Linked DNA regions of Tamandua tetradactyla. The protein of the gene in region 2 purifies or fractionates together with the protein of the main gene of each other region. This does not show direct contact. Links are inferred from orthologs where the notes say so. Each region holds a gene or a part of one and is shown on either strand. Other genes may lie near its edges. The genes, in order: POC1A, CORO1A and IFT57.

Region 1 (11,035 bases), on a different chromosome or scaffold from region 2:
AGGAATACTGTTAGTTGGGGCTTGGCATACCATGGCAATTTGTAATAACCGGCTGTCACCGGAGTTCTTTATAAATAGAAATGAAATTCAGAGACAAAACCACAGGGATCCAGAAGAAAACAGAGAAGCCAAAAGAGGCCGCCATGTACATTGCTACATGACAGAGGAGCCAAGGACGAAGGATCGCCAGCAGCCAGCCCTAGAATGCCAGTCTTTGAAGAGAAAGGATGGCATCTATGATGCCTTGATTTGGGTTTTTTTCTGGCCTCAAAACCATGAGCCATTAAATTTCCGTTTTTTAATCAACCCATTGCATGTTATTTATTTCAAAAGCCCAATAAACTAAAACAAACAAGTACAGTGAAAACTAAAAAACATCACTGAAAAAAATTAAAGATAACCCAGATAAATGGAAAGACGTCCCATGCTTGTTGTTCAGAAGACTTTATATCGTCAAGATGGCAATACTCCCCAAATTGATATACAGATTCAACACAATCCCTATCAAAATCCCAGTGGTCTTTTTGGCAGAAGTTGACAAACTAATTCTAAAATTCACATGCAAATGCAAGATACCCAGAATAGCAAAAAAACAATCTTGAAAAAGAACAAGGTTGTAGGGCTCACAACTTCACAAGTTACCACAAAGCTAGAGTAATCAAGACAGTGTGGTATTGGCATAAAGACAGACACAAAGATCAATAGAATAGAATATTGAGAATCCAGAAATAAACACTTATATTTATTACAGCTCAGTGATTTTTGACAAGGGTTCCAAGACAATTCAACAGAGAAAGACTGGTCTTTGCAACAAATAGTGCCAGGGCACTAGGATCTCCCTCATATGAAAGAATGAAGTTGGACCCCACCTCACACCATTTACAAAATTTAACTGAAAATGGATCAAAGATCTAAATATAGGAATTAAAACTGTTAAACTTTTAGAAGAAAACATAGGGGTAAACCTTGGTAGCCCTGGATTAGGCAATAATTTTTTATGTATGACCCCAAAAGCACAAGTGACCAAAAAAAAAAAAAGGACAAACTATACTTCATCAAAATTAAAAATGTTTGTATACCAAAGAACAATATCAGGAAAGTGAAAAAAAAGTGAGGGGTAAAGGGTATGGTATGTATAACCTATTTTTTTTCTGTTATTACTTTATTTCTTTTTCTGTTGTCTTTTTATTTCTTTTTCTGAATTGATGCAAATGTTCTAAGAAATGATGAATATGCAACTATGTGATGATATTGAGAATTACTGAATATATATAGAACAGAATTATATGTTAATGTTTTTGTTTGTTCTTAATTTTTTTAATTAATAAATTTAAAAAAAAAAGAAAAGTGAAAAGACAATCTACCAAATGGGAGGAAATATTTGAAAATCACTGATCTGTTAAGGGTCTAGTATCCAGAATACATAAAAAAAAAACTCAGACCATTCAATCACAAAACAATAAACAATCCAATTAAAAAGTGGGCAAAGGATTTAAATAGACATTTCTCAAAAGACATAAAGATTGCCAAAAAGCACATGCAAAGACGTTCAACATCATTTGTCATTAGGGAAATGCAAATCAAAACCACAATGAGATACTACTTTACACACACTAGCATGACCATAATCAAAAAGAACCAATAATGAGAATGTAAAGAAATTGGAACCCTTACACACTGCTGGTGGAAATGTAAAATGGTGCAGCAATTTGGAAAACAATTTGGCAGTTTCAGAAAAGTTTAAACATTCAGTACCATATGACCTGGCAATTCTACTCTTAAGTATCTACCTAAGAGAACTGAAAATATATGTTCACACAAAAATTTGTATACAAATGTTCATAACAGCATTATTCATAATAGTTCCAAAATAACTGAATGTTTAAACTTTTTTGAAACTGCCAAATTGTTTTCCAAGTTGCTGCACCATTTTACATTTCCACCAGCAGTGTATAAGGGTTCCAATTTCTTTACATTCTCATTATTGGTTCTTTTTTATTATAGTCACAGTAGTGTGTGTGAATTGCACACTACTGTAGTTTTGATTTGCATTTCCCTAATGACAAAGTGGAAATAACCCAAATGTCCATCAATTGATGAATGGATACAAAAAATGTGACATATTCATACAATGGAATATTATTCAACTACAAAAAGTAATGAAGTATTGGAATATGCTCTACATGGATGAACTTGAAAACACTATCCTAAGTGAAAGAAGTCAAACATAAAAGGCCACTTACTGTATGATTCATATGAAATGTCCAGAATAGGCAAATTCAGAGACGAAAAGCAGATTAGTGGGCCAGGGACTTAGGGGAAGGGAGAAATAGGGAATGTTTGCCACTGGGTACTGGGTTTCTCTTTGGGGTAATAAAAATGTTCTGGAATGAGATAGTGGTGACGGTTGCACAATATTGTGTGAATATACTAAAAGCCACTGAACTGTACACTTTTCAAGGGTGAAATTTAAGGTATGTGAATTATATCTCAAAAAAATTATTTTTATAAAATGTCCAGAGAGAGAAAAGCACTGTTTTCAGCACTCCCATCCTCAGGACTCAGATCCCATACCCTCAATACCACCACAGAAGGGCCAGTGAACCCAAAGGTCAGTTCTGGACAGGCTCTCAGTGGCAGAGCTGCCACTCCCCTCCACTCAACATTAGAGAACTAGGGCTGTTTAGGGAAATGCTCGAGAAGATATGGAGAGAACACTGTGGAGACTCTTCATCCAACAGCAGATCGTGTCTCAGCACATGTTATATTCCAGCCCTCTTAACATCTACCCCACGTCCCCTACCCAACCCCCTGCAAACCTCAGAAACCTCAAAGAAGCATCCTGGGGTGCCCTGGGAGCCGAACAAAGCCTTCTCTTGGGAAAGGATGCCCTTGAGGCAGGAGCAAGGCCCCACCACCCCACAGAGTTGTGCCCAGAACAAAGGTCTGGCGACTCTGTGCCCAGTTTCATTCCCAATACACCTGTCTGACTCCCACTTTCAACAACAGGAGACAGTGGCAGCTGGGGAGCCTCCCAACAGAGCAGCACCCACCCCAAAGCTGCCACCTGATCCTCCCAGAAGACCAAGAGTAAGATAGCAGCAGCCTGTAGGTTCAGCGTGCAAAGGCAAGTACAGGTCCATCCCTGAGGAGGGTGCCCCTGAAAAGACTTAACACCCCCTACCCCAATCCCACAGGCTCTGTGTTTCCCTATATGTAAGACTCCTCTTCCCAAGGGATTTAATAACCCTGGAGGTTGTGGGGTTTGTGGGGGGCACAAGACTAGGGGCCAAAAGGTCTGGATCCTGGTCTGGGCCTCTGCCCAAGTTTTCAGACGCCTAGAGGCCATAGGACTCCACCCAGTCTCCTAGACTCTCCAGAAGGCCAGAGGACCAGGCAGGTTCCACGCAACCCAGCAAAAGGAAATGGGCTTTGGAGTGCTCCCCTCTGCCCTCTGAGGGAGACCGGGACTCCGAGACGGTGGCCTGGCTAGGTCACACAGCAGATCTGTGACGGCCCAGGCCATCAGCGGCCAGCTGTGCCCTCAACAAGCACCCATCCGGAAGCCCGCTGCTCACGGCTGACACTGAGGCCAGAGAGGCCCCAGGACACAGCTCGAGCCAGGCTGTGCTGTGACTCCCCCACTAGGATGCAAACCCTGGAAGCAGGAATTGGTGTGTCGTCCCTGTAGGCCCAGGCAAGGAGACTAAGACCGGGAGTCCGCCACCGAGAAGGACTTACCCGGCAGGGGAGGGCCATGGCGCCCGAAGGGCCAGAGGAGCCGGCGGAGGCCGCCGTTGCGGCCAGTTCAGTTTCCGCGCCCCAACCGCCGCCAATAACAACACTGGGCGCTCCGCCACGCCCCGCCCACAGCAATTAAAGGAGAGGCGGTGCAGCAACTTTTTGCCCCCGACCGGAAGCAGAGCAGTATGGCAGGTTCCTTGTTGTACGCGCCCAACTCCGTAAAGCTGGGAAGACCACCGGCGGCGTAAGCAAAGGCCTCTGTCCACAAGCGCTCATTCCTCCTCAGAAATTAAAAAGCCCGGGACGAGACTATTCGCCCCACCGACCCATTGGCCGGCTAACGTGACGGCGAGCGCCGCTTTCTGGGAAGTGTAGTTTCGAGCACCCAGTATCCTTGTATCTGGAGGAAGATGGAACTACGTTTCCCAAGATCCCATGAGATCGGGTCTGGGTTGCCCCAGAAGCAAGAGCCTTAAGGATCCCGGAAGTGGAGGACACGTGAGTCGCTGTGTTTGTATTGCCTTAAAGCACCGTTACGGGCGCGGCTTATGTTTCGCAGAAGACTCTGTTTAGAACAGATTATTCGCCCTTCGGGAACCCTCTTAAACTCTTTAAACCTTCTGAAAGCAATTAAAACAGGGGCGATGTAAAAAAATCTCGAGGCACTCGGAAGCATATACATGTAGTGTACAGAATTAGATTCTAATCACAGCTCTTGCCCTGATTCACTATGTGACATCAGGAAAAACTCCTCTGCTATCTGGGTCTCTCAGTTTCTCCATTTGTAACCTGAGGAAGTGTGATATGACCTAGCCCACTCTGGATGTTTCAGCTTGAGAAATCCGTATAAATTGAATACTTAATAAAAGAGGGCAGGGCCACTGTGGCTCAGCAGACAGAGTTCTCGCCTGCCATGCCGGAAACCCGGTTCGCTTCCCGGTACCTGCCCATGCAAAAAAAAAAGAAAAGAAAAAGAAGGCAATCCAGGAGCCTGTCCACCAGAGGCCGTCCCTACTCACTCCCTGCCCTCCGCAGGTCCAGAGAGTAGGCAGATCTGTGAATCTTTACTCCTTCTCACTCCAAGCATTTTCCCAACAGGTAACTAATCCCCGACCGGATATTTTGCATGATTCGGGAGACTTTCATCACCTCCCCTGGTCAGGCGGGCTTGGCCAAACTCCATCACTGATTAGGATCTGGCCAGGCACTGAGATTTCTTACCTGAGATGGTGTGTGCCTGGACCTGTAAGCCAGAGCTCAGTTCTCTAAACTCAGAAACTGATGGTTTGGGGGTTTGGCCCTGGAAGGTCTAGAGCAGAAAACAGGAAACAGGACTATAACTGTGGTTTGGCATTGAACTGGATACTTTGTTAGAAATGTTTGGGCTACTTTAACTTAGATACTATGAAAGTCCCCTTAAAACAGCCACCAGCTCCCTGGCTCACTCCCATGCACTCTGAAACTGGACAATTTTCAGCATTCCCACCAACATTTGCTTCTGAATCAGTAGTTCTCTTGTCTGCCAGCCAAAGATCTAAGGGAGAAAGTAAAGGAAGAAAATAAAATCTAAATGCAGAATAATCTGTTCATTAAACCTAAGAGTTCTTTTGTGGCTTTTTAAATTTAGTTTTGTTTTGTCAGTTTTATTAGTGGAACACACCTAGTCTATGGGAGCTTGCAATTTATAAATTGAATTTAGAATAACTCTTCCATAGATGATTTTCAAATGTCAGGCTTACTCAAAGAAACACTGCAAGATTTTACTCACTGTGGTAGTTCGATTCAGTTGTCAACTTGGTCAGGTGAAGATGCCTAGTTATATTGCTGTGAACGTGAGCCGATGGCATGTGAACATCATCTGTTCCTGATTACATCTGCAGTCGGCTAGGAGGCGTACCTGCTGCAATGAATGATGTTTGATTTAATTGGTTGGTGCTTAAATGAGAGAGCTCAAGGTAGCACAACCCAAGCAGCTCAGCATACCTCATCTCAGCACTCTCAGCTCAGCCCAGGCCCTTGGAGATGAAGAAAAAAATCACCCTGGGGAAAGTTGTTGGAACCCAGAGGCCTGGAGAGAAGGCCAGCAGAGATCACCCTTTGCCTTCCCACCTAAGAACCTCAGTTGAAAGTTAGCTGCCTTTCCTCTGAAGAACTAATGTAATAAATCCCCCTTTATTAAGAGTCAATCCATCTCTGGTGTGTAGCATTCCAGCAGCTAGCAAACTAGAACACTCACCTTTCCTAGTCTTTCCTTCCTAGTCTTTACCCACCACTGGAGATGCCCCAACCACTCTTGTTCATTTCTTTGCCAAAATCTGCAAAGAAGTCCATTCTGACAATGCTACACAGACAACCATGGATACAACCTACACAAGCCAAGATTGGTACCTTCACTTTCTGACTAGGCAGGGCCCCGTTCCCCTCCACCTCTATTAGATTGATTCCAGTTTGCCTGGGGCCTCCATGTTGGGGAAATCCTTTGGGAGGAGGAGTTGGAAGGAGTTTCTTTTTCAAGCCCCCCTCTGGCAGGGCTGTATCCATCCCAGTGCAATGTCTCCTTCAAGAGCCCTCCTTAATCCAGTATGACCTCATCTTAACTTGATTACATCTGCTAGGACCCTATCTCCAAATAGATCGCATTCCCAGGTTGCCAGTGGACATGAATTCAATGTGGTACAGGTCTGGTGACAGGACTGAATATGGCATGTCTGGGGAACAAGGACAAAGGTGGGGTAAGAAGTAAAAACAGATTGTGAGGCCACAAATGTAAACAGGATTCCTGGGAATCAGCCCAAAAAGGTCAGGGAGCCACATGTTCTGTCCTAGGGTTGATATGAGCCGAAAGAGTGTTTTCTCCTCCACTCCCCACCATGGATGAGGCTGTGGGCACCAGGCCCACTTTTTATAGGAATGACCCCTTCAGATGCCCCTTCTTAGGGAGTCCCACTTGCAAACTTGGACCTCAGTGGCACCCACTGTGGAATTGATGTGCCTCTGCAGGTTGACTTTCTCTAAGGGCAGGGCATACCTCAGAGCAGGGAGAGGTCCAGTAGGGCCATAAACCTTCAACCCTGCCCTTTTCCATGCGTATTGCCAATAGCATTGGCCCCTCTGGTCTGAAGCCTATGTTTCAGTGACCTAAAGTCACTTTATGTAAGTGTCTAGTTTGGGTCCACCCTCTGATGTTGAAAACAATGAGTAACATAACTGGAGTTACTGTGGTGATTCTGGGGGCATTGTTGTCCATGGGTCCAGGATTCACTGGGACTAATTTCTAGGAAATGTGAGGACGCTGAGCTGGTTTCTCAGGCAAATCAGATGGGTAAGTCTTTGAGTGCTGAGTCCTCCTACCCACATCCCATGACCATGACCCTGAGCAGGTCCACAAGAGAGGCTGAGCCACTGTTTCATCCTGTCCAGGTAGAAGGGCAGCTCAGCTGTGATAAGGGAGCAAATCCTGCAAAGCTGAGGGTGAGGGCATGGTACAAACACAAGAAGTTTGAACTCAAAGCTGAGCTCCTCCTGGTAGATAATACAGGTGGAGCTTGAAAGCAGCGGTTCTCAGCTCTGCTTGCCATTCAGAACCTCTGTAGTGGAGCCCAGTATTCAGTGTTTTTTTTTTTTTGAACACTCCCCTGGTGAGTCTGGCAGACAGTTAGGGCTGGGAACCACTGATCTAGACCAGCATCGTACAAAAAAACTTTCCTTGATGATGAAAATGTCCTCTCTGCACTGTCCAATATTGTAGCACTCATCACATGTGACTGCCAAACACTTGAAATGTGGCTAGTATGGCTGAGGATGTGACTTTTAAATTTTATTTACTTTTAATTAATTTATAATTAAATTTAAACAACCAGGTTGTGACTAGTGGGTACAGAACTGGACAGTGTAGCTGTAAGCTGTGGACAGGCCCATGGCTTTGGGCAGGTCACCGAGGCTCCAGGACTTCAGTCTCCTCATGGGGCTGTGGGGGGCATGATGTCCAATCTATGGTAGCTGTGGTGATGCTTTGTGCCTTGGGCACTTGTATTAGTTTCTTGTGGCTGCTGTAACAAGTGGCTACAAAGCTAGTAGCTTAAAACGACATAAATGTATTCTCTCACAATTCTGGAGGCTAGAAGTCTGAAACCAAATGTCAGCAGGGCTATGAGCTATCTGAGCCTCTAGGGGGAAGATCCTTCCTTACTTCTTCTAGCTGCTGGTGACCCCCAGGCATTCCTTGGCTTGTGACAGCAAAACTCCGATCTCTGCCTCCATCTTCTCCGTGTTTCTGTGTGTCTAATCCAATCTGACCTCTTCTTCACTTAGTTACCCCTACAATGACCCTGTTTCTAAGTTAGGTCACCTTCACAGGTACCAAGGGTTAGGACTTGAACATGTCATTCTAGGGGGACACAATTCAACCCATCACAGCCCCACTGTCCAGTTGAGGTGAGTTTGGAGACACAATCCCAACCTGGGGACCCAGAGCAAGACAGAAGCAAGCAAGTCACAGCAGCTTGTGCCCTGTGGCAGATCTGTACCAGCTGCCCCCAGAGGGTTAGCTGCCCCAGAGACCAGAGGATAATCAGATTTCCCTCCCCTAGGAACCCCTAAATTGTGGTATGATGAACTGGCCTGGGACAGTGAAATAACTAACATCTTTCATTTGCTTCAGAGACACTGTACACTAAATACCACGTGAAATCTTAACTGAAACTCCAGAGGTGTTGGAGTATTATGTTCATATTACTGATGTGGAAACTGAGGTACAGAGTTAGTAAATGGGGAGCCAGGATTAGAACCCATATCTCTCTTTCTGCACAACGTGTACCCTTCATTCTAATGCATACAGGAAGATGGACTGAAAAGCCTTGAATGGTGCCGACCCCGATAGGACTTGATATCCTCAAGACTTTCACCCTCCACAGCGGAGATGAGGGCAGAAACTGTCCCAAAGTGTTCAAGCCCACACTAAAAAGTCCTTGGTGTCTTGTAGTTTATCTCTTAAACTGTCAGGTAAGTTCTGTACCTACTCCATTTTACAGCCACTTCTTTTTAATATCAAATTGGTGTTCTAATGATAAATGCAGTTGACTTGAAGTAGAGCTGATGATCAGGAAGATGCCCCTATTTATCTTGTGGTTTCATGTTCCGCTCATCATCATGCACCAGTTTGAGAAGGTAGGTGTCGTTGTTTGCCAGGCGGCTGTAACAAAACCATACATTGGCTCAAACAATGGCTCATGGTTTGAGAGGCTAGATGTCGAAAATCAAGGCATCAGCAAAGCCATGCTTTCTCCCCCAAATCACTAGCATTCTGGTGCTGGCATGCAGCAGTCCTTGGGGTTCCTTGGCTTAAATCTCTGCTTCCCGTCACATGGGGGTCTCCCTCTGTCTGGCCTGGCCTTCCCCTGGGACATCACTTGGCTCCTTGTGAATGTCACCCCCTCAGAGGTCCTCCTTCAGCCCTCCCCAGGCATCCTCTCATACCTCCATCCTCCTACTCAGGTCCTATCTCTACCAAAAATTATGGTGTCTGCTTATATGGTCTTCACTCATCGTCCATCTCTCCTGATTGGGAGCTTCATGAGGGCAGGGGCCACGCTGTGCTGATCACTGCCAGGGTCTAGACACTCAGACTTGTCTGATGAATCAATCCCTGGAATCACCAGACCTGGAAGGCACCAGAAAATATTCCTCCCAGGGTTCCCAGAGATGCTCATACTCAGGGAGGAGCTTTCTATGAAATCGAGGACAGGCCATTTAAGTCCACAAGTATTTGTAGAGTGCCAACCCTCGGCCCTGTGCTGAGATCACCAAGCATTTGTGGATTGCCAGGTGTGTACCAGCCCCTTTGCCCAGCTTAGTCGGGGAGAAAGGCTGACTAACTCCTGAGTCCCTGCCCTAGGGCAGCCAGAGAGGGAAGGAGCCAGCTCTGCCACTAAGCAGGTTGAGCTCAGCAAGTGTTCCCGGAAGGAGTCAAGTTCAGTACTGAGAGAGGTGCTCTGTTGGTAGGATGGGGATTTTGGGGAGGAGGAGAAGGCATTTGTGGGGGACTTGAGGGACAAGCAAGTATTCCACAGTGACATGGTGCCCCGGAAGGGAGAAGTGTGGGATAAAGGAGACACACCATTTTTCCAGGGTGAGGCAGGCAGTGACAGGCCTGCCTAGTGTGGGCTCACCTCCACTGCCTCCTTGTCCACCTGTCAGCTCTGCTGCCCGCCCTCAGGGAACGTCTCTAAGGTGCAAGAGGCTTGCTCAGGTGGAAAAGGCCTACCTATGGTGAGTCATCCTAGGGTCCCAGGTAGGCTTGTCCCCACAAGTCACTTACACACTCAGGGCCAGGGCAGCCACCCTATACGGGCAGGAAAACTGAGTTCCAGATTGGAGAGCGAATGCATTGTCTGGTCCTGGACAAGAGGGAAGGGGGCTTGGTGTAAATGTGGGGTAATGACGTTTGTCAACCTCCCTGGGGATTGCCATAAGCTCTTTTACCTAAAGCCCATCTGTGACTCCCTATGCCCTTGGGATAAGGCCGGACTCCCAGGAGTGCCCTTCACAGCCCACCTGGTCTGCTACTGCTGCTTCTCTAATCTCAACTTGCAGCCACACACTAGGACCACCTGATGGGCCAGAACTTTCCTCCTTGTATCTTTTCTACCCTGTTCCCTCTGCCTAGGGGACTCCTTTTTCCAGGCGCCTTGGGGGAAATCCTACCCTTCAGTCTTGGTTCAAATGCCTCTCCGTGCCCAGAAGGCACAGAACGGATGGCCTTCCTGTGGCCCTCAGACCCTGTCAGCCAATGCTCCCTTGCAGATGGCTACCGGGGCTGGATCTTATTCTATCTGAGGATCCATGCGCTCCTGGAGGTAGGGTCCTGTCAAGTTCATCTTGGTCACCGCTCTTGATCATATGGAACGGATGGAAGTGTGTTCACAGCTGTGTGTACATATGCATGTCCGTGTGTATGAGTGTGGCTGTGGCTGTGTCTGTGTGTGCATACCTGCCTACCTTCTATGTGTGTCTCTGTGCCTGTGCCTCTTAGTTTGGGTCCCCCAGAGGCAGACCCTGAGGAAGGATTCGAGTATAATACGTTTATTTGGGAGGTGATTCTAGGTAACACCAGAAGTGAGGTAGGGAAGTGAGACACAGACAGGGAAGAGAAGATGGACTAGTAAAGAGTGAGTTATTGAGCAAGTGACCACTGTGGGTGACCACGGCCAGACCCAGTGGGGACTCTGGGACACGTTCTAGAACAAGCCTTAGAGACATCCCACCTGAGAGGTGAGGAGTGAAGAGCTTTATT
Region 2 (10,887 bases):
CAGCCATTTGCTACCTGGGGAAGTCTAGGCCTATAAACCTGAAGCCTGTTTTCTGAGACCTCAGAATTTCCCACCCCTAGCCCCAAGAGTGCCCCAAACATCAGCTTTCTCCTGGGACAGCTTCCTTCCACATCAGTAGCAGGCATCTTTCCATCAGGGTCCCTCAATCCCCGTCCGTCTCTCACCGAGCTGGGACTGCCACTGGTCTCCGCTGCTGCCCTCCTGCGCCCTGTGTCCAGGCCCCGGTTGACCCTCAGCTCCCGGCTCTTTGGGGGTACGTAGCCATCTTTGAGGGAAATGAGGAGTGGCCCGGCATCCCGACCCCCTAGCCACTCCTCAGCCGTGAGGGCAGGGTCAGGCCCTGCAGTGGGCGGGTACAGGTCCTCCTGGAACAGGTCCGACTGTAGGCAAGGCCAAGGCTGGTTAAGTGAGTGGTTGGGCCCCGACACCACCCCACAGCTCCATGAGTCAGCACCCAGCCCCGAGCCCAGGGAGGGCGGTAGGAGCATCACCTTTCTAGGCACTGTCATGGCAATGGGCTCACACCTCCGCTCGTGCAGCTTGTAGAATCTGTGGAGACAGGAAGGTGAGCAGTGCCTGCAGCGTGCTTGGGCTGGGGCTGGAGGTCAGCACTGCCCACAGAGTATGCTCGGGCTGGGGCCGGGGCTCAGTCACCTGGCGATCTCACACTTGTTCACCTCCAGGCCACGTTTGGGCATGTAGCCCATGCCACGCTGGGACTCCTTGGAGCTGAACATGGACAGATAATGCAGGAATGGGGCTTCGGAAGTGATCTCAAAGTACCGGATAGAGCTGTCACCCTGCAGACAGTGGGTGCAAAAGACGATCAATACCAAAAGATGCCTCCAGCTGGGGTCCCCTCCAAGCCCCTCCTGCCTGCCTCCCCCCAACCTCAGCCTGACTGGGCCACCTTGCCACAGAGGTAGACAATGTTGGTATCAGGGTCAAAGAAGGGCAGAAGGACGCCACTGCTTGTGTCCAGCTCCTGCAGAGACAGAGGCTCCTCCAGGTGCTTCTGCAGAGATAGGAAGAGAGCACTGAGCTGGGCTATGCCAGGCACTGGGGTGGTGACCTTCAGAAGGCAGTGACCCTCACTTCAGTGTCAACCCATGAGAGTCCTCGAAGATGAACCAGCTAAATCCTCATCTCGCAAATAGGTAAAGTGAGGCCCCAGGCCATGCAGCCAGGGAGGTGGCCAGGTAGGGAGTAAACCTCCAGCCTTTGGATCTGCAGCCCAGGGCTCCTCCCTCCCACAAGGCCTCTTGCTTGTGTGGGCTTGGCACTTACTGTGTCCCATAGTGCCACCTGCCGCTCGCTCATGCGGCTGAAGCCTGTGGTCAGGATCTTCCCATCAGACGCAAACACAGCATGCACAGGCCGGGTCCCCTCGTGGGGACGGTCCTTCTCCTGGAAGGAAAAGGGAGGGAGTAGGTCTGGCCAGACCCCCGGTGGGGCGAGAGAGGATGGCCTCCAGGGGCCTGCTGGATGGTGGGTAAGTCCTCAGGTCAGGGGTGAAGGTTCCTAGCAACTCACAGCTACCACAGTGCCTTTGCGGGGCTCGATGATGCGCACGCGCTTGTCACGACAGGAGGTACAGATGAGCGCACCGTCCCGGCTCCAGTCCACGCTGTAGATTGTGTCCGGGTGCACGTCTGGGCCCAGCGTCAGCATGGCCACCCCCGTGCCCACGTCCCACACCAGGATCATGTTGTCACAGCCTGGACAAGGCCCCCATGTCAGAACCCATCTGGGTCAGGCCCCCCACCACCAGCCCTGGACCCCAGTCCCCAGTCCCCAGTCCCCATGGCACCTGCACTGAGCAGCACATTCTGGGCGGTAGGATGCCAGGCCACAATGCCCACGCGCTTCATGTGGCCCTCCAAGGTGACAACAGGCTCCCGCAGGGGCAGCGTCAGGCCCCCATCAGGGATCTCCCACACCTGCCGAGAAGGGTCTAGTGAGTCTTTGGGGCTCCAACCTCCCTATCCCTGCCCACAGCCTCCCCCCTGGCCCCTGGGTCCCCATTGCCACTTACCATAACTGTGCAGTCCTCGGAGCCACTGGCAATAACGTTGTCATTGTGCGGGCACCAGGCGATGTCCAGCACAGGGGCTGTGTGTCCACAGACTGTGGGCACATTCTTGTCCACACGTCCAGTCTGGAGGGCACAGCAGGGCCTTGAGAGGGATGCTTTTGCCTTCCAAACCCGGTCTTAACTTCCCACCCACAGACGTGTGGAGCAGAAGGCTGTGGGGTCCCTTGGATCTGAACCAGGGCCTGGCTGGTGAGAGTTGGCCCCTCTGTTTGCCAATCCCAGAGCCATCAGGGCCTGCCCTGGAGGGCTGCCCACAGGTAGCAGAGTTGGGGATATGGGGCTGCAATGGTTCCTGGTCCTGCCAGTCTCTACCTCAGTTTCTCATCTGGGCCCTGTGAGTCGGCATCAGTTGGGCTCTTGGGTCTCCTGCTGCCAGAGTGAGGCTTTCATGGGCAATACAGGCCAAGGCAATGGAGCAGGGATGGATGGGGTGGGGGCTGGTTGAATCAGGGCTTTCCAGGAAAGTGGGTGTGAATGGCTGGGTTCAGGGAAGGGGCCTTCCAAAAGGAGAAAGACCAGGGAACTTTGTCATAACTGGCCCCCAGGCAGGAGCAGAGGTTTGGAAATAGCCTCTTCCGGGGACAACTGCCGCAGCAGGGCTTCCTGTGTGGAGGGCAGTGCGGGGTGCCGGCCCAGCTCCCACCCCGACAACCACTTCCTCTTCTCTTGGCCTCTTTCGGCCCTTTTAAGGTAACAACCTAGAGCCCATCTCCCCTTCCTGTCTCACCCCCTAAAGAACACAAGAGTGTGTTGGAGGAGGGGGTCAGCAGACTGCAATGGGTGGGGGTGGGGGTGGGAGAGCAGGACCAGGGGGAGGGCAGGCCTGGGGGAGGGGAGAAGGCCTCTTGCCTCATCCCTGCCTGTGAACTGGGGCCAGCGCTTGCTTGTCCTCAAGGGCTCAGCCTGGTCTTTCAGGTAGGGTCCCTCCCAGCTCCCAAGAAGCCTGCCCTCTCTGTGTTCTCCAGACTGAGGCTTGGTAGGCACGGTCCTGCGTTCGCCCGGACTCACTATGTGACCCTTTTCATGTCATCTCCCCATTCTGAGCCTCAGTTTCCATTTAACCACCACATGGAAGAGCAGGAGGAAACTTCAGGCTCACCTGGCCCAGCCCCATTTTGATGACAAGACTGAGGTCCCGAGAAGCTTGGTGGCAACCACCCACTTAGGAATCCAGGGGGCCACTGCTGGCCGGAGGCCCCCTTGGGGGAAGGAGCTACTGCACCCAGGGCTCCAGGCCTCACCTTGCCTAGGGGCAGGACCAGGAAGGCACCTCCCCCACTGGCCTCACAGATCAGGGCCACGAACTTGGGGTTGACGGCGCAGAAGCCGCTGTCCCAGGTGGTCTGTGAGACGCGCACGTCTTCATAACACTGGTCGGCCTTGGCTGGCTGTCCAAACACATGGCGGAACTTGCTGGAGCGGACCACCTGCCGGCTCATCCTGGGGACATACGGATTGGGGCCTTTTATCCCTTTAGGCCAACTCTGACATCACAACGGCCCCACCTCCCCACGACACCCCTCAGTCTGGCCCTGAAGGCCTCGGCTCACTTCCCCAGCATCATCTCCCAGGGCTCCGGGCCCCTAACTCTCCTCCCTAACAGACATCCCACTCCCCCACTGCTCACCCTCCTCAACCCCTGCTCACTCCTGTCTAGCCCGGAAGGCCCACCAGCTCTGTCCACTCCAGGCCACTCTAACCCACCCACCCCCGTTTCTGTGCCCTCAGCCTGCGCTGCAGAGCCTGGAGGGGGTAGGCACTAAGGCACTAAGGCACTAGCGCACACTGTTGACTGATGGGTGGATGGATGCAGAGCCCTTTCTTTCTCATTCAGATTCGGGGGCTGTCAGCCCAGGCAGTGTGGAGGCCGGGTTCTCACACTGTTCCAGTGAGCAGCCCTCACATCCCTCGAGCCCACGCGGGGAGCTCCCTGTAGGCAGACGCTGGCCCTCCCTCGCCTCCTGGCACAGGGCTGGACATGCAGGAGGAAGAGGCACGAGGGCCTGCCCAGGAGGGAATGAGGCAGGATGGCTTCCCCAGGAGGTCTCTGGGCACCAAAACCAGGCGGATGGCTGCTGTCCCAGTATCGCCTCCTCCCCCACACTCTGCCTCTCGCCTCCGCTCGGGAAAAGCAGGTGCTCTGAAGTGCCATATCCAGCCCATCAGAGCTCTCTACACAGGAGGGAGCAGCTGACATCTCAGGTCCAGCTAGGATGGCTTTCCCCAACTGGGGCTGGGTGGAGAGCAAGAGAAGCCAAGGGGAGTGCTTCTAGCTCTCCCAAGCTCCAGAGGCCCATCCTGGTGCCCAACTTTCCTTCCCAGCAAAGGGGCCTCCCCAGAGACTCTGCCCCACAACCCCAGCTGTAACTTCAGGCCTGTCCTTGTCCCACTGGGGGCTCCTGCCTGCTTGCCCACCCTGTGACCCCTGAGAGGGCCCCAGGTCTGCCTGCCTAGAAAGCGGAGTGAGGAGCCCTGTGAAAGGAGCAGTGTGGGGGTGGGAGCCAGTCCCAGGTGAGAGGCCTGGGTCTTAGGGATAGGGGAGCCCCAAATCAAGAGGCTGGGGGACAGGAAGCCATCACCCCACCCCGCCTCCTCCCCCACCGCAGGTACCAGGCCCGGAAACCACAGAATGGGGAACTTGATCTTTTCTTGTTTTGCTCTCAACCCCTTCCTGTCTCCAAGCTCAGGGCAGCTGCTGTGCTCACCCCACCCTGCCCACCCCAAGACTCCCATTTTGGGGACAGTCAGTGCCTGACATGAGTCCCGCACCCCTCTGGCTAATACTGACGCCCCTCCCAGCTTCCCCATCTCCATCTTGGCTGTGCCGGGCCTTCACTCTCAGTTTTTCAACGCACCCTCGGACAGACAGATGGACAGTCACGTGTTCGCACCCCACCCTGTTCAGGGACGGTCCCCTCACGGCTGGCACGAGGGCCGGGCTCCCTCTGCTCATCTCAGCGCCCGGCTCAGCCAGGCCGGCGGGCCCCACAGGTGGCCCAAGGCAGGATGCCGGGTCTCCCGGGCCAGCTCCCCCGCACCCCACTCGGCTCCGCCCAGGGGCCTCAGCCTTACCTGCCGCTGAGAGATGACAGCGACCCCCCAAATGGAGGAGAAAGAGGAGCAGGAGGAGGAGGAAGAGGAGGAGAAGGAGGAGAAGGTGGAGGAGGAGAAGGAGGACGGAGCTGGCGGCCCTGGAGACTCGCCCGCTGAGGATGCTCTTGTCAAGACAATGAATGAGCCAAGGCCGTCCGCCCGCCTCCTCGGGTGGCCGCGCCCCTTGGGGGCGGGGCTCCTGCGGGGTCTCGCCGGCTCCCTCCCCAGGGCCCCGCCCGCCAGCCCGGCCCCGACAGAGCCCGCACCCTCCCTTTCCTCCCTATGGGAGAAGCTCCTCGCCTTTCGCTGCCAATTCCAGACCAAAGCAGATGCTGCTGCCGGCCGGGCCCCGGGAGTCGCGCGCGCGCGTGTGTGTCTTAATGTCAAAAATGCGAAAATATCCTGTTCTCCTTCCCACCTTCAGTCCCCTCGCAGCCTCCTCTCCATCCTTTACCCTGGCATTCGTGCACGCTCCCTGCAGGCCGCGCCTCAGGCCTTTGCACCAGCCCCCATGCTCCCCCCCAACGCACGGGAAGAAGGGAAAGTCACGGTCGGACGTGAACTCACGAGAACCCACGGAGTTCTTGTTCAGACTCCCGGAGACACTTAACCTCTCTGGGTTTGATTCTTCACCTGGGAGCACCTTTGCCTTGCCTGCTTCACAGGGTTATGGTGGGGAACAAATGAAGTAATTTGAAGTTATGGAGCCCCTACTTTGTGCAAGGGCCTACGAGAGCTGAAGGAGTCAGGTTCCTGCCCTTAAAATGTTCTCAGGCTAAATGCAAATCAAAACCACAATGAGACGCAACTTCACCCACTAGAATGGCTAGTATTAACAAAACGGAAAGCAGCAAGTGCTGACAAGGATGCAGAAAAATAGGAACCTCAGTACATCGTTGGTGGGAATGGAAAATGGTGCAGACCCTGTGAAAAAACTGCTTAGTGGTTCCTCAAAAGTTAAACAGAATTACTGTATGACCTGGCAATCCCATTTCTAGCACAAAATAATTGAAAACAGAGACTCAGACGTATTTGTAAACCAATATTCACAGCCACATTGTTCACAATAGCCAAGAGGTAGAAGCTACCCAAATGTCCACTAGCCGATGGATGGATGGACAGACAAAATGTGGTATATCCATACAATGGAATATTATTCAGCCCTAAAAAAGAAATGAGGTTCCAATACATGTGATTGCATGGATGAACCCTGAAGACATTATGATGAGTGAAATAAGTCAAGCACAAAGAGACAGATATTGTATGATTATACTTATATTAAATAGCTAGAATATGCAATACGTAGAGACAGAAATTGGAGTACTGGTTACTGACGAGGGGTGAAGGGGAACGGGGAGTGAGTGCATAATGGATATAGGGTTTCTGTTAATGGGTATACAGGTGATGGGAAATTGCTGCTAATGGATGGTGGTGAGGGTAGCTTAACATCATGAATGTGACTAATCCTTCTAGTGGTATGCTTGGGACTGGTGGAAATGGGAATGTTTATGTTGTATGTATGTGACCACAATTAAAAAATAAAAGGATGCAATATATAAAAACTAGGCTTTACAATGAGGATTTATTGAAAGTATAGTTGTAGGCCATGAAAATGCCCCCAATTAAGGCATTAAAATATGATACCTGGACTCTGAAGAAAGGCCAGCATCTGGGACACCTCTGTCACATGGGAAGGCATGTGGCCGACATCTGCTGGTCCTTCACTCCTGGGCTTTACAGCTTTCTGCTTCTGAATCCAGTGGGTTTCTCTCTGAGCATCTGTTGTTCTGCTCGGCATCTCTGGGGACATGCTCCCTCTGTAAACTCTCTCCAAATGTTTTTTTTTCCTTCTCTTTTATCCCCATAAAGGACTCCAGTAAAGGATTAAGACCCACCTTGAATTGAGTGCATCACACCTCAATTGAAATAATCTAGTCAAAATCCCACCCACAATAGGGCTACACCCACAGGAATGGATTAAAAGAACGTGGCCTTCTCTTGGGGGTGCGTAACAGCTTGGAACCAACTGATGGATAGGTAAGTAAAATGTGGTATTATAGAATACCACAATGCAATACTGTTCTGCCATAAAAAGGAATGAAGTCCTGATACATGTGAGAAATTGGATGAACCTTGAAGACATTGAGTGAAATAAGCCAAAAACAAAAGGACAAATATTGTACAATCTTAGTGATTTAAAATATTTAACATAAGAAAACTCATATTCAGAATCTGTACTGTAGTTTACCATGGTTTTGATGGCTGTAGAGAATGGGAAATTAAGACTTAAAACATATGAGGTTCTTATTTGAAAGCTGGGAAATATTTTGGTAGTGGTTGATGATTATGGTACCAAAGCATTGTGAATGTAATTAACAACAATGAAATGGATATCTGTATGTGATTAATGGGATATCCTAGATTGTATATGTGCTAACAGTAAAAAAAAAAAAAATTAAAAGCTAGAAAGGGAGGTTTCATCACCTCTTTTGAAATTCTGAATAATTTTTGAATTATAACCAACTACAGGGTATACAAAAATGTGTTGAATCATCACTCAGATCAACCAAAGTAAAATTTTGCCATTTTACTTCATGCTTTTAAATAAAAACAAATAATGCATTAATAACAGACAAGCACAGTGCATACAAAAGATGAGAGATTAGTAAAAATATATATTAATAAAAAAAGAAATGGCTACTAAAGACATCACTAATTGCAAACAATGAAGGAATTGTGACAAATATAAATTTTAGACAACTTTGATTTTTGAGCAAAAGTAAGTCATAATATAGTGATTTTATGGACAGGACATAGGAAAAGTTGAATTTTCATATGAATTCAAAATGTACATGAAAAGAATGCACATTTTAATATTTGAATAAATTATTGAACGGTGATAAACTAGTGAGAAGTTAGCATTTTACTTCTAAAACAGAGGTTGAACTTTACCTTACCCTTACAAAAATAATCGAAGAAAATGGTAAAAAATAATTCTAGAAAGAAAACCTTAATATACATTAAAGGAATGCATGTTATTTAAATGCAAAATAATATATCTAAAAAGCATTAAATGAAAAATAATCAAATACTTGGAAAATGGAGAAAGCATACTTTCTTATATATACATTAAACAGAACGAAAAATAAAACTACAACTGCAGGTGACGTTGAAGAATTTTTATAGGAAATTTTAGCATCCTACCTGATTAAATTTATGGGCTGTTACAAAATTCGGATTCATTTTCAAACCTTGGTGTTAATCTAGAAATCAGGATAAAAGAAATGTTTTTTTTAAAAGTCATATCAAATTAAACAAAGAAACATGAATTATTGAAGCTTCTTAACACTTCACAGAATGGTAGGATTTTCAAATCAAATTCTTAGCATGTAGACCTTTAAAAGATATTGGTCCATGTAAAGAGTTAACCTCTTTGTTTCAGGGTGCTAAAGCAGCCAAAATGCAATATAGCAGAAATGGGTTGGCTTTTAACAGGGAGATTTCTGAGTTTACAAATTTACATGTCTAAGGCCTTAAAAGTATCCAAATATGGAGTCTAGAGAAAGATACCTTCTCTGAAGATAGGCTTACTGGCATCCAATGTTCCTCTGTCACGGGGGAAGGTACATGGATTGTGCCTGCTGGTGCTTCTGTCCTGGGATTTGTTCTTTTTAACTCCTGGTATCAGTGGCATTCTCTCTGAAAATCTGTGGGTCCTTGGCCTCTCCAGGGCATTTCTCTCTAAGCTCTCTCTCAACATTTGTCTTTTATTTTCTCACAAAAGACACTGTTAGAAAAGGATTAAAGCCAACTTGAATGGGGTACATGACAACTTCAAACCAGCACCTCATGACTTTATAAAACTTCATGTCTTATAGCATTGCTAGGTGAGGTTCTTTTATTTCAGTCATGTACCAAGAAAATATACATATCCTAAATTTAAATTACAGAGAAATTACCAAAGTTTATAATGATGAGTGGAAACCAAAAACTGCATGACTGTGTGATTATGAAGACCTTATGACAGACGATCCTTTTTACAGTGTATAGAAAGTTGAGCAAGAAAGAAAAGAAAAAATGAATAATTGAATAATAGGTGTGATTGGGTGTACAGAATGTTTAGGATGTTCTTTGTTACTCTTATATTAATTTTTATTTTTTATAATTTTGAGTAATGAAAATGTTCAAAAATCAATTGTGATGATGAATGCACAACTATATGATGATATTGTGAACCATTGTACACTTTATATGATTATATAGTATGTGAAGATATATTTCAATAAAACTGTATTAAAAAAATAAAATAAAACGAGTGACTAAAGAGACAAAGACAATTAAATGCAACACATGATCCTGAATGGGATCTAATAATGGAGGAGAAAATGCCCAAAAGGACAATATTGGGGCATATGTACCTTTTCGACAGATGAGTAAAACATATGGATTAAAATTAAATAATAGGGGGAACAAATGTTAAAATAATTTTAGTAGATTGAATGCTAGTGATCAATGAAAGGGAGGGGTAAGGGGTATGGTATGTACACATTTTTTTCCATTTTCTTTTTATTTCTTTTTTTGAATTGATACAAATGTTCTAAGGAATAATCATGATGATGAATATACAACTATGTGATTGTATTAGTTAGGGTTCTCTAGAGAAACAGAATCAACAGGGAACACTTGCAAATATAAAATTTATGAAAGTGTCTCACGTGACCGTAGGAACGCAGAGTCCAAAATCCACAGGGCAGGCTGCGAAGCCGATGACTCCAATGGATGGCCTGGATGAACTCCACAGGAGAGGCTCACCAGCCAAAGCAAGAATGCAACCTGTCTTCTCTGAGTCCTCCTTAAAAGGCTTCCCATGATTGCATTTAGCATCACTAATTGCAGAAGACACTCCCCTTTGACTGATTACAAATGGAATCAGCTGTGGATGTAGCTAACGTGATCATGACCTAATCCTATGAAATGACCTAATCCTATGAAATGTCCTCATTGCAACAGACAGGCCAGCGCTTGCCCAATCAGATGAACAGGTACCACAACTTGGCCAAGTTGACACCTGTCCCTAACCATGACAGTCCACCCCTTGTCAACTTGGCACCTATATATATATATCACCTTAGACCATACTTAATTTCCAAATGAAAACAAATAAGCACACATTTTTTCTTTTACCTGACAATACTCAACTGTCCTGCATATAACTGGAAACACATTAAATCTCTCCAGAATAGGGTGCAAATCCTTGGGCAACATTCGTTCTTAAACTTGATATCTTACAACTTAAATAGTATAACACAAACAAAACAGCATTACAGTCCTCGTTTCTGTAACTGATCACGTGGTCGAAGTTCATATTTATCACTACCTTCTTCCACTACCCATTCCATGTTCCCTTTCCCCTCAGCAAGCACTTCAGCTGGCCGTGGTTCTTTGCCTGGTGGGGTGACCCAAACCTTCATTCCTGAAGTTTCAGAGCCATTAGTAGTCCTGCCTGGATTGGGTTGTTGCAGTTTTCCATTGATTTTAATCACAGGGCATGGTAGTACTAATAGACGCCCCAGGGGATCTCCTATATTCCAAGAAAACTCTTCTTTACCTCCATTATGTAGTTGCAGTCCTACTTCCTTCTGATAGTCAGGGTCAATTACCCCAGACAATAATGTAAT
Region 3 (10,735 bases), on a different chromosome or scaffold from region 2:
AATTGATACCAGTAATGCCATAAGGTTCAACTTGATGATAACCTAGGTCAATGAAGTTCTAACGTAGGTATTAATAAGAAGTTGTTGTTCACCTGAACGAATGTAATTGAGAATATATTAAAATATTAACAAGGACCTTTCTACAGAAATTAATTCTAATCTACAAGTTACTGCTTGCTCATTTTACCTGTATAATGTGTTCCACATTCTCTAACCTGACGATAATCTCTACCGTCAAAGGACCAAATTCATGTATTTTCAAATTATAATCTATATAAATTGATAATCTAGGATATTTTATTTCCTCATCCATGTGTCTCACATTTACTAAGCAACTGTGATACACCAAGCACTCTGCTAATTGCCATATAGTACATATGAAGACTTTATTATTTCTAGCAAGAAAGCCAGGCCTACAAATTATTTTAATACCAAGATAAATACAATATTATAGAAACATTAACAGAGCACTATCAGACCAGAGAAAGAAGTAATGAACAACATCTAGGAGAGTGTCAGATGGCTACTTCAGTATTATTCTTGCCCAGTCATTGTAAGCAAAGGGGAAAATCCCATTTAAAACACTATATCCATTTCCATTTTTCCCTTAAATCTGCAGCTATCCATTACCCCCATGTATATACTATGCCTATATGTCTAAATAAATACATACACAAGACTTTTTTAAATGTTCCTAAATTGACAAGGGTATACAGTTACAGTTAAATCTTTGATAAGTATACATTTGAACAAGGAAGGAGCACAATAATATACATCGCCAGAACTGGTTTTGAAGACACGGGATATTTCAATTTTGTCTTTGACTTTTCTTAATCACCTGAGGGCATTTTCAATTTAGAACAGTCAAGAGGAAATCACTTTCAATTCAAGTAAAAAGTTCTGAACACTTAGAAGAAGACGCTATTACTATAAGTAGGCTGGGTAGTGTTTACCTTTTCCAGGTGAAACCAATATATTTTAATGTTTCTTCTGCTAAACAGTCAAGAACATAGCATACATGTTCTCCATAACCTGACTTTAATTTTGAAGGAGGAAAATCTGCAGTTCTTCCCTGAAATACAAAAGATAAACAGGGTATTATTTTTATTATATTCTAAATGCCAAAACATTTTAAGCAAAGAACAGCTGAAGAGATACATCCCTTACCATTTTTCAAATATGATTTAAACTGTAATTACATTGTATCTTAAAAATCCACCTATTTGTTCCTTTATTTTTAATCTACAGATAAATTTAAAAACTAAGGAAACAGACATTTTATTGTCAAAGTATCAAATTAAAAGGCAATAACCTCCTGCCTGGCAGAATAAATCACTGATCCTCTTGGGCTGAAAAAAATCAGTGAAACTATTCACTTGGTATCACATCATTAAACAACCACATGAAGGGCAGAGTGATTCACTTGTCAAAAATGAGTAACATATGAGACAAAAATATCTCACTGCCTGTCCTCAGGAAAGTCAGAAATGAAAAGCACAACTTTTATTATGGTCTAGTAAATCACAGTTCTCTTTTAAAATACAGTGTTTCAGCTTCCTAGCTGTTTTTTGTTTTTTTTTTAATTTCTTAAAGGAAGAACTAAGCACCCATTAATTTACTTTAAGACATTTCAAAACTAAGAAAAAACATTATTTTGGGCAATAATGAGTGTATACTGAACAATTTTTAGAAGTGGTATAAAATGAATATCAAGCATTCTGAGAAGGTTTTATCTGAAAGTAAATTAAGATGTAGCTACATATATTCAGAGAGAATTCATCGAAGCATCTAGCATTTATATTGTGGAATCACCAATATTAAAGTTCATAACTTGAGAACGTGCAGAAAGAAAAGAGTTGTTTACACTTACAAATGATCGAAGCTCAGATAATATGTTAGATATTGTTGCATTAGGGTCATCATATTCTTGAGGCTGCTCAAAGGGATGTCCTGCTTTGTTAATCAACCAAGCAGCAAGAGTGCAAAACATGTAGAACTGTTCACCAGGGTTGGTAGGCAGGGCAAAATAGTGTCTGTTTCAAAACAAGGGGGTTGGGGAGAGAAGTAGCATATGAAATAATGCAAACAAGTCTGTGGTACCTAAAGACGCTCAGTCCAAATCTGCCAAAGGACCCTTTCCATTTTTCAAATGGCCTTAAAATCAAAAGACACTAATATTTCACCCCTTAAAGTTTCCAGTAATCCACAGCACTCACATTAAAACTTTTAACAAATAGGATTAGGGCAATTACTACTGTACATAAAATATTACCTCAAAGACCTTATATCTAGAAAATGTAGTGTATGTGGAAGTTTTGCCAAAATCATTTAAGCTGTTAGAAATAATAAGAGAGTGCCTCCTGAAAATGGTAATCTGGAAACAGGAAACTCAGAGTTATTAAAAACACATTAATGACCACTCACAATAAATTTTTACTTTTTAACATGCCATTAATATCTTTGCATGAATCCAGAACTTCTGGGAATGGAGCCCAGTATGAGTCTATTTTAAAAGCTCCCAAGATGGTTCTATGGTATACCGAGGATTTAAAAAACCAGAGTAACACATCTCCATTCTAACAAATATTGTTAACTTTTGTTAAATCATCTAGCCTACTAAAAAAATTCTTATGAGGATCAGTATGATTTATACCTAAACATGTTAAGAATAAAACTTGCAAGCAATAGCATTCAAGTCAGTCTGAACAAAGATCTTATCCTGCTTTTTTCACTTAAAGGTATTACTATTATGTTTATGTTGTATTAATAGCTATTCTCACCATTTGTCATAAGAATTAATGGTTTATTTCTTCATGTTTCCCAAACTTTCTCCTGCAGGATAAATAAATGTTCTTGAAAATAACAAAAAGCTGAGAAAGAAGGAAAGGCCCTGCAGCCCTTTCAGATATAGGCTCAGGACCCTTTCAAAGCACCCACTTACCAATAACTCATCTTTTCCTTTTCAGCCGATTACCCCTCCAGGACAGTAGAAACTGATATACCAACAAAGAGGAAGGATAGTGGTTCTCAAATCTTGAAGTACATAAGAATCACCAAAAAGGCTTTTAAAAACACAAAATGCTAACACCTATTTCTGATACTGTAGATTGGGGAATGGGCCTGAGAAATTGCATTTCCAGTGAGTTTCTAAGTGATGCTGATGCTACTGGTCTGGTGACCACACTTTTAGAACCACTGAGCCAGCATATCTTCATTTGTATTCATGACTCAAAGTATCTTGCTGAACTCCTGAGGAAAGAGTACAGAGCTTGATATCAACAGAACCTTGAGGTCATTTTCATTTAGTTTGAAAAATATATTGGGAAAAAGGTAACGAATTTTTATTAACATAGAAAATGTAAGTTGTCTATATTATCCTGATCAATTCATGCTAACTCCTCATCTAACAGGTTCTATCATGGATCAAGCAATACTACTTTTTCCTCCTCCAATTTTTCTGACATTATGGATTGATTTAGCAATATGGACAGTTTACATAAGTCTACATAGTATGCTATTAAATTATTAGAAAAGAGCAGAGGAATGAAATTAAAACTTCGAGGAAAATTACTTTAACCTAGTTACAAACTTTAAAAGAAAATGCTCAGTCTTCTTAATCTAAATTGCCTCTTATACAAAATAAACAAATGTAGTCCCTATAAAACTCATTTGACTATAGCTGGACTATGTTAATTGGAGGAGAAAGTGCTGCTATCCATTACTCTCAAGCAAGAAATGGTACTATCATCAAGGAAAGATAAACTTTTCCCCAGTAGGAACAAGGGCAGAACCTTAGGTTCTACCAGGAGACAATTTCAATATTTTGTCATTTCTTTCTGCTTCCCACTTCTTAGTTTCTGAGAGTACCTTTATTGCAAAGGCAGAAGAAGTTCTTTTAAACCATAGCAATTAGTCAACAAGTTTACATATAAAGTACTCAGCAAGTCTGAGGTACCTGCAGTTGCCAGTTGTATGGAAAGGTCCTCGCAGAGGAAATTAAAAGACTAGAAATAGAGCTAAATAACAGTGCTCCTTCCTGAGGATAAGATTACGGATGACTTTAGTATTTTTCTGCACAATTTTGTGTTTTTCTAAGCTTTCTACAATGGGTATTTTTATTACTTTTATAATCAGAAAATACAGTCTGTGTTTTGTGACAAGTGTACATTTTAGAGAATAGGCTAGCTGTCTTCTAGTCCCTCTGACATTCCAAAACTTGTTTCCTCTCTCTACAAAAATACCAAGTCTGAACTCTGTGGGCTCCACAACAGTGTCGCTGAGTTTGGGGTAAGCTGCCCTTCCCCGACTAGGAAGATGGAGGAAAGTGCTTTCTAACCCGTGCTCGGCGTTCCCCAGTAGGACGCGGGAAGGCATCTCCCCCAGGATCAGCTAGGACCCAGGCGCTCAGGGACGAGTGGACCCACCTGGACGGGGGCTTCAGGTTGTTCTTCCGGAGGAGCTCCTCCTCATAGTGGAGCAGCTTCAGCTTCTCCACTAGGTCCTCCATCACTACGAACATGTGGTAGGCCGCGCCGGGCCCCCGCTCCACGACCATTTCTCCAGCCCCTTCGCTGCGGGTCCGAGACACTGTATCCTCCAAACCTGTCGGTGTGACGACTGCAGCGGCCGCAGCCATCGCAGAGCAGACAGAAGGACGCCGGCGGGGCCTCCAGCCCACAGACCTCCCGGGCCTCCACCGCCTGCGCTGCCACAACCAAAACACCCGCGACCCGTTACCAGGCGACCCGCCGGGCAACCCGTCACCAAGGAAACTAGGCTCCGCCTCTTTCCTGGGCCCTCTGTTTCCCTTCTAAATTCCCTCCAATCACAGAGGGCCTCCGAATGACGTCACCGTGAACCCCGCCCCTCACCTTGCGGAGGATGTGGCTGGGAGGCTGGCCCGCCCTTCTTGGAGGCGTGGCTTCCGCTCCCGGCTTCAGCCTGCTCAGCCTCCAGCAGCCGCTTAAAAGCAAAGGAGGGGGATGCTAGCAATCTGCTTAGCTTCTCTCGCTGGACGGGGTTGCAGGGTTGGTGTATGGATCTGTTGGTAGCTAAGTTAAAAACATTGAAGGGAAATGAAGACATGCAGTAGTGAAGGCTACGCTAATCCACTGAAACCTAGTTTTTTCTTCTTAAAATTGAAAATTTTCAGTTATAAAGATAGTCAATAGCGTGGATTTTACTTTACCTCAGAAACTACAACAAGGAGTTTTTGTTTGTTGTAACCTAATCTTTTCTCCCTCTCGTTGGTAGTGCTTTACTTATTTAACACTATATTATAAAGCGTGAAGAATTCCAATTCCTTTCTCTTGTTCAGTGCTAGGAAAGGGATTGGTTGGGGAACAGGTAGGGAAGTAGAAACTGAAAAGCAAAAAGGAGGCCCCTCAGGCAGGATTTGCTCCATTTCAAAAAAGAACATTTAGCTCCTATCTTGCTCCTTAATGTATTTCAAACCCGTCTCACATAGTATAAAGTTCTGGGAAGCCCTGTTAAAACGAACAAAATGAAGGAGACAATTAGCTTGAAAGGAATTCCAAACGCCTGAGTGTGCTTAAAGACCAGGTGTTATTCAATAATGTATTTTGCTGCTATTGTCTTAGAAAATGCAAAAAGGGGACATCACTGACCACAGCTGTGGCCCAGATCTACGGTTCTCAAGACTGTGAATCAAGCAGCTTTCCTAACAACTGCGTAAGAGGGAGGTAGCTGGGAGAAGAAAAATTAAGACAAATGCTCAAATATATGTTTTGTCTTTAATGTGATTTTTGAGGCTCTCTTATCTCTTATATATGCCACTAAAGAATATAGAAATCACATTTTTTGACATAACTGAAGTTTGCGATGGGCCTGTAGTATCTTTGTATTTTTGTTTAAAAAATGGGCAAAAGTCTGTTCTCATTTTAATATCTGTCTAGAACTAACTTATTTTTGGTAGCTATAAAGGTATCAGTAAAATTAGAAAGCAAATCTCATCAAAAAGGGGAAACACACATCATTGTAGACTAATCCAAAAGGGAAAGGCATTGAGAAATGTTTTTTAATTAAACAGCATTGCCTCCCTGCTATAAGTCATTAACCAGTTGTCTTCAATAAAGATAAGTGGGAAAATTGTGTTTGGCTCCACACCATTGTCAAATTAATATTTCCTTTTCATAACCTTCACAAACAGTGATTTCCCCCCTTTTCCTTAAGTCTCCACTCCACCTTCTGTGAGTGTGTGGGTGTATGTATGTTTGGGGAAGAGACATCTGCATAACTTTCTGAGTACAAGATAGCTTGTTAGGATGGAAAATAAACTCCAAAGCTCAGATGATTTGGGGTGCTTGCTTAATCAACAAGCAACCTGTAGCTTTTTTTAATACGTAAGTATCAGACTTTGTAGGGTAAATTGGTTATGCCCAAGAAGATCGTCATTGATGCAGGGCACCCTGCTTACTTAAAAAGTTCTGACATTTCCAGGATCTTATATAGTATGCAGTGTGAAATATAATCAAGTGTTGCTTTTTTGGGGTGACAAGAAATCCTCCAAAAATGATGTATTTTGGGGGAAAAACTTGTAAAACCTAGCCATCCCCTTCCCATGTCTGACTCAGCCTAACCTGGAATCATTGTGAAGAATTATCTTGTAACTGTTGTGGAAAAGAAAGGATAGAGGTGAGGGGAAAACGAATGAAATATAGTGTCCTCAGTAATTGTGGCAGAGAGAAAGAAGTGAAGCTTAGCTTTTCAACACTGCATGTTTTCTCACAGCAAAAAGATTGGAAAGCAACACTGAAATGTCAATTCCTTTTCATAAGACCCACAAATTATTTTTACTGATTCCTTGGTTACCCTCAATAGTTGGTAACACTGAGAGGTCTTTTCCTTGACGTAATTACTTTCCTTCATTGGAGAGAATGCACTCAAATCCCCTTCTAGCTGTCAGCCTCTTAGAAACTTTGGGATACATTTGTGTTAACTTTTGCAGGACTAGCTGATTTGTGGAGGAAGGAATTAGGTGGGGCTTGATGAGAATGAATATGTTGACACTACTTTTAAAGAATCTTAAGGGAGATCTATCCCTGGCTCTACTCTGTTGATCTCAATTAATAGCAGGCTTCTGATTTTGACTTTATCTCTTGCAAACTATCTATTAAATAAACAGAGATAGTTTTTGAGACCCTTAAGGTCTTTTTGTGAATTGGTTAATCTCTGAAAACTGAGTAGCGTTACATTCAAAGCTGTTTTAAGCCAAGTGGATTTCCCTGAAAGCTAGGGGTGAAGAGGAGGCAGGTTCAAAGATGGAGGAAGGCTATCAAGCTGCATCTCCAAATGTTCGAAAAAGTCTTCAAGAAGATCGGGCGGCCGTAAAGGACAAAGCAGCTTTGTCATAAAGTGGCTCAGTACCACCCATTCATGATTTTTAAAAATTTAGAAAGCCACATAGAATAAAATTCCTTACACTAATAGATTCATAAAGCTAAGTGTTTGACTAAAAATCCTAGGGGGAAAAATCATTTAAATGTGAAGGATTAGAAGTGAATCCTTCTAAAACCAACTGAGGATGAAGACATCTACTCTTCAGAACTGTACTAGAAATCAGTCAGTACCTTGAGACAAGAAAACTGGAGCAAGTATTGCAAAATGTAGAAACCATTACAGGTGATGGATTGACAAAGTAAAAAATCCGAGAATCTACAGAAACCTATTAAAAGACAACTTAGCAAGTTTACTATAGATGAGATCCGAACAGAAAAAGCTGATGGAAATAGCAGTTAGCAAGCAAACAAACAAAACCTTCAATAAAAAAAATGACATCATACCCCAGGAGTAAATTTATCATTATCTTTATGGAGAAATCAATAAACTTCTACATTCATGGAAAAATCTAAAGAACCTAATGCTCAAAGATAGGAAATGAGTCACCATATCAAATTGCAAGATTCCAATAAAAGTAGAACCTAAAATAAAGATCCTGGAAACAGTATCTGACAGTTGGTGTTGCCAAATAATAGAGAAAGATGAACTACTTGATAGATGTTGAAGCCTTGTTATGGACTATCCGTATGGAAACAATTATCTCTGATTCTTATCACACAAATTACAGATGGATTAAAGGTATAAATGTAAAATACTTGTAGAATATTTAGAAGAAAACATATTAAAACATTTTTAACCCTAGGGTAGGAAAGGATCTTTTGAAAGAAATAAAGAACAAATTTTAAAGAATAGAGAAACTCATGCACATCAATTTAAGAACTTAGGTACAACAAAGAACTCTAAACAGTGAAGATATTTATAACCCATATAATGTCAGTGGATTAGTTTCTAGGATGCACAAAGGTCATAGGTTGCTCAAAGCCTTTGTGCTAAGCTGAGGGGTTTAGTTGTATTCTTTCAGATCAGAGTTTCTCAACTTCTGCACTATTGAAATTTTAGGCTAATAAGTTTAGGGAGTCTGTTTTTTGCATTTTAGATGTTTAGCAGCACCCCTGGCCTTTACCCACTAGATGCCAGTTATGAGAACCCCCAAAATACCTCTAAACATTGCCAAATGGCTCCTTGTAGGGCCAATAACCACTGTTTGAGTATCACTGTTTTGGATGAATGGGTCAAAATCTCAAGTGTCTTTATAAGGTCTGAGTATGTAAATGTGACATGTGAAGGGGACTATGGTGAACTAGAAAGGTCATGTACCATCTCAAGGAGGGGACCATCATTTCAGGCAGCAATGCAGTCCAATTTTGCCATGTATTCTGATTTTACAAGGATCTGAATCTGGATTTTTGTGACAGTGTGACATCCTAATGCTCTTGAGGGTGGCTTTGCACAGAAAACACTATTTCAGGCGCTTAGTTGTTAAAGGTATTTGATTAAAACATTAAAGTTTAAAACTAAGAAGCCTAGTTCTTTAGTTTGATATTAAAATCTTATTCAATTTATAAATGTGTTTGCTACAGTCAATTTTTTTTTTTTTTACATTGTTTATAAAATTATTTTAAGCATTCTGTCTGACAAACCATTCCAGGTACGAAGTCTAAAAGCTTAAAAAAGGACAGGGTGTTGTGTGTGTGTGTGTATATGCGTGCATGCATATGCTAGGTTCTATTGTGTATTTCAATACTATGTATAAACCTAGCTTCAATTTAAAACAAAATCTATGTCAATTACTCAATTACACATTATAAATCGGAGTTATAAGTTGGTCTTTTTCTCTAATAGGCCAAATTTTCAACCATGGATATTTAAATATCAAACTCATTCTTTAACATATTGTATCTTTTTATGAATTCATCATTGCTGTACTTAGTGTTGCAACTTTGAGGGTTAAAATATACTCACCCACCTAAGGAATCAATGATCATGAAAACTTCAGTGAAGTTTTCCATCCAATGTATAGAAAGATTCCTGGGCCAGATGTAGAATAATTCTTGTTCAAAACACCAATGGAACATCCTAAGACCTAACTTAGAAAAGGAAGTGGTTTTGCAGTTCATGCCCTGGACTTCTGATTCCTAGTTCTTTTCTACTAGAAAAAAAGTTGTTTAATCCCACCAAGATTATAGTTGACTGCTTCAGCTAACTTTGGCTCTCATGGCAAGTACCATTCAATGATATTCTATATATCTCAAAGCTTTGCCTGGCTCCATGGGTTTGTTTTCTTGATGAGCAAAAGGTGTGGGAGAAATAAAATGTATGTGTGAACTGCCTTCAGTTTACTGCCTCCGTGTAGGTGATGGGATGACTATTAACAGACTTTAAGTAGGTATGTATATTCTGGGAGGATGTGATCAAATTTGTATCTTTGAGTGTTCTGGCAATATTGTAGAGGAGGGACTATGGGAAGGTGAAAAGTGATGGAAAAGCTATTTGAATAGTCAGGTGAAAGAAAGTCCTGAACAGAGATGGGTGGCAATGGGAATGACAAGAAACTGCTAGCTCTAGGAAGTAGATCAGCATAAATTAGTAACTGGCCCCATAACAAGTGCTCCGGAGCATGCATGGCACCTGTTCTAGTTTGTTAGCTGCTGGAAAGTGATATACCAGAAACAGAATGGCTTTTTAAAAGGAGTAATTTATTAAGTTGCTAGTTGACAGTTCTAAGACTGAAAAAATGTCCCAATTAAAGAAAGTCTATAAAAATGTTCAATCTAAGGCATCAGGAAAAGATACCTTAGTTCAAGAAGGCTGATGAAATTCAGGGTTTCTCTCAACTGGAAAGGTGCATGGCGAACATGGTGGCATCTCCTTGCTTTCTCTCCAGGCTTCTTATTTCATGACACTCTCCCGGGGGCATATTCCTTCTTCATCTCCAAAGGTCTCTGGTTGCCTGCATTCTGGCTCTTGTCATTCTTGTTACCGTGTCATGGCTCTGTTCTCTCAGAATCTTGTTATTCTGAAGGTTTCTCCAAAATGCTTCCACTTTTAAAGGATTCCAATAAACTAATCAAGACCAATGCGGAATGGGTGGAGCCACATCTTCATGGAGATAATCTAATCAAACTCATCCTCTCCAAGTACTTGGGGGGGGTCAGTTCTCGTGGCTGAGGTTTTTTGACTTTAAACTTTAGTTTCCATACTTCTGCTTCTGAAGTTATTTTACCAAGACATTATTCCTTTTCTGAGCCCCCCAGGCCGGACTGGCAGTGGCTCCATTTATACAGGTCCCACAACACTCTTTTTTGGCTTCCTAAGTAGTAAGCAAGGATTGTGCCCAGCAGACAGCAGGAGTTTCCACAAATCCTTCCTGGATAAC

What was found.
Region 1: the proteins of CORO1A (region 2) and POC1A purify together in Homo sapiens (affinity purification with mass spectrometry; 3 studies listed by BioGRID and IntAct, counting the BioPlex papers as one, with this or other methods). This does not show direct contact. The link is inferred for Tamandua tetradactyla from reciprocal best matches to the Homo sapiens genes CORO1A and POC1A.
Region 3: the proteins of CORO1A (region 2) and IFT57 purify together in Homo sapiens (affinity purification with mass spectrometry; 3 studies listed by BioGRID and IntAct, counting the BioPlex papers as one, with this or other methods). This does not show direct contact. The link is inferred for Tamandua tetradactyla from reciprocal best matches to the Homo sapiens genes CORO1A and IFT57.

The regions. Positions count from the first base shown.
Region 1 is NC_135341.1:33,700,381-33,711,415, reverse strand, and holds the start of POC1A (POC1 centriolar protein homolog A), read right to left. Parts: upstream 4,190-11,035; 5' UTR 3,760-4,189; coding exon 3,658-3,759; exon of another isoform or gene 3,350-3,657; intron 1-3,349.
Region 2 is NC_135349.1:24,730,811-24,741,697, reverse strand, and holds the start of CORO1A (coronin-1A), read right to left. Parts: upstream 5,359-10,887; 5' UTR 5,189-5,358; intron 3,557-5,188; 5' UTR 3,556-3,556; coding exon 3,358-3,555; intron 2,180-3,357; coding exon 2,057-2,179; intron 1,962-2,056; coding exon 1,832-1,961; intron 1,740-1,831; coding exon 1,555-1,739; intron 1,429-1,554; coding exon 1,309-1,428; intron 1,037-1,308; coding exon 932-1,036; intron 822-931; coding exon 676-821; intron 571-675; coding exon 513-570; intron 402-512; coding exon 186-401; intron 1-185. UniProt on the Homo sapiens protein: May be a crucial component of the cytoskeleton of highly motile cells, functioning both in the invagination of large pieces of plasma membrane, as well as in forming protrusions of the plasma membrane involved in cell locomotion.
Region 3 is NC_135336.1:38,854,352-38,865,086, reverse strand, and holds the start of IFT57 (intraflagellar transport protein 57 homolog), read right to left. Parts: upstream 4,761-10,735; 5' UTR 4,637-4,760; coding exon 4,425-4,636; intron 2,034-4,424; coding exon 1,871-2,033; intron 1,073-1,870; coding exon 954-1,072; intron 1-953. UniProt on the Homo sapiens protein: Required for the formation of cilia. Plays an indirect role in sonic hedgehog signaling, cilia being required for all activity of the hedgehog pathway.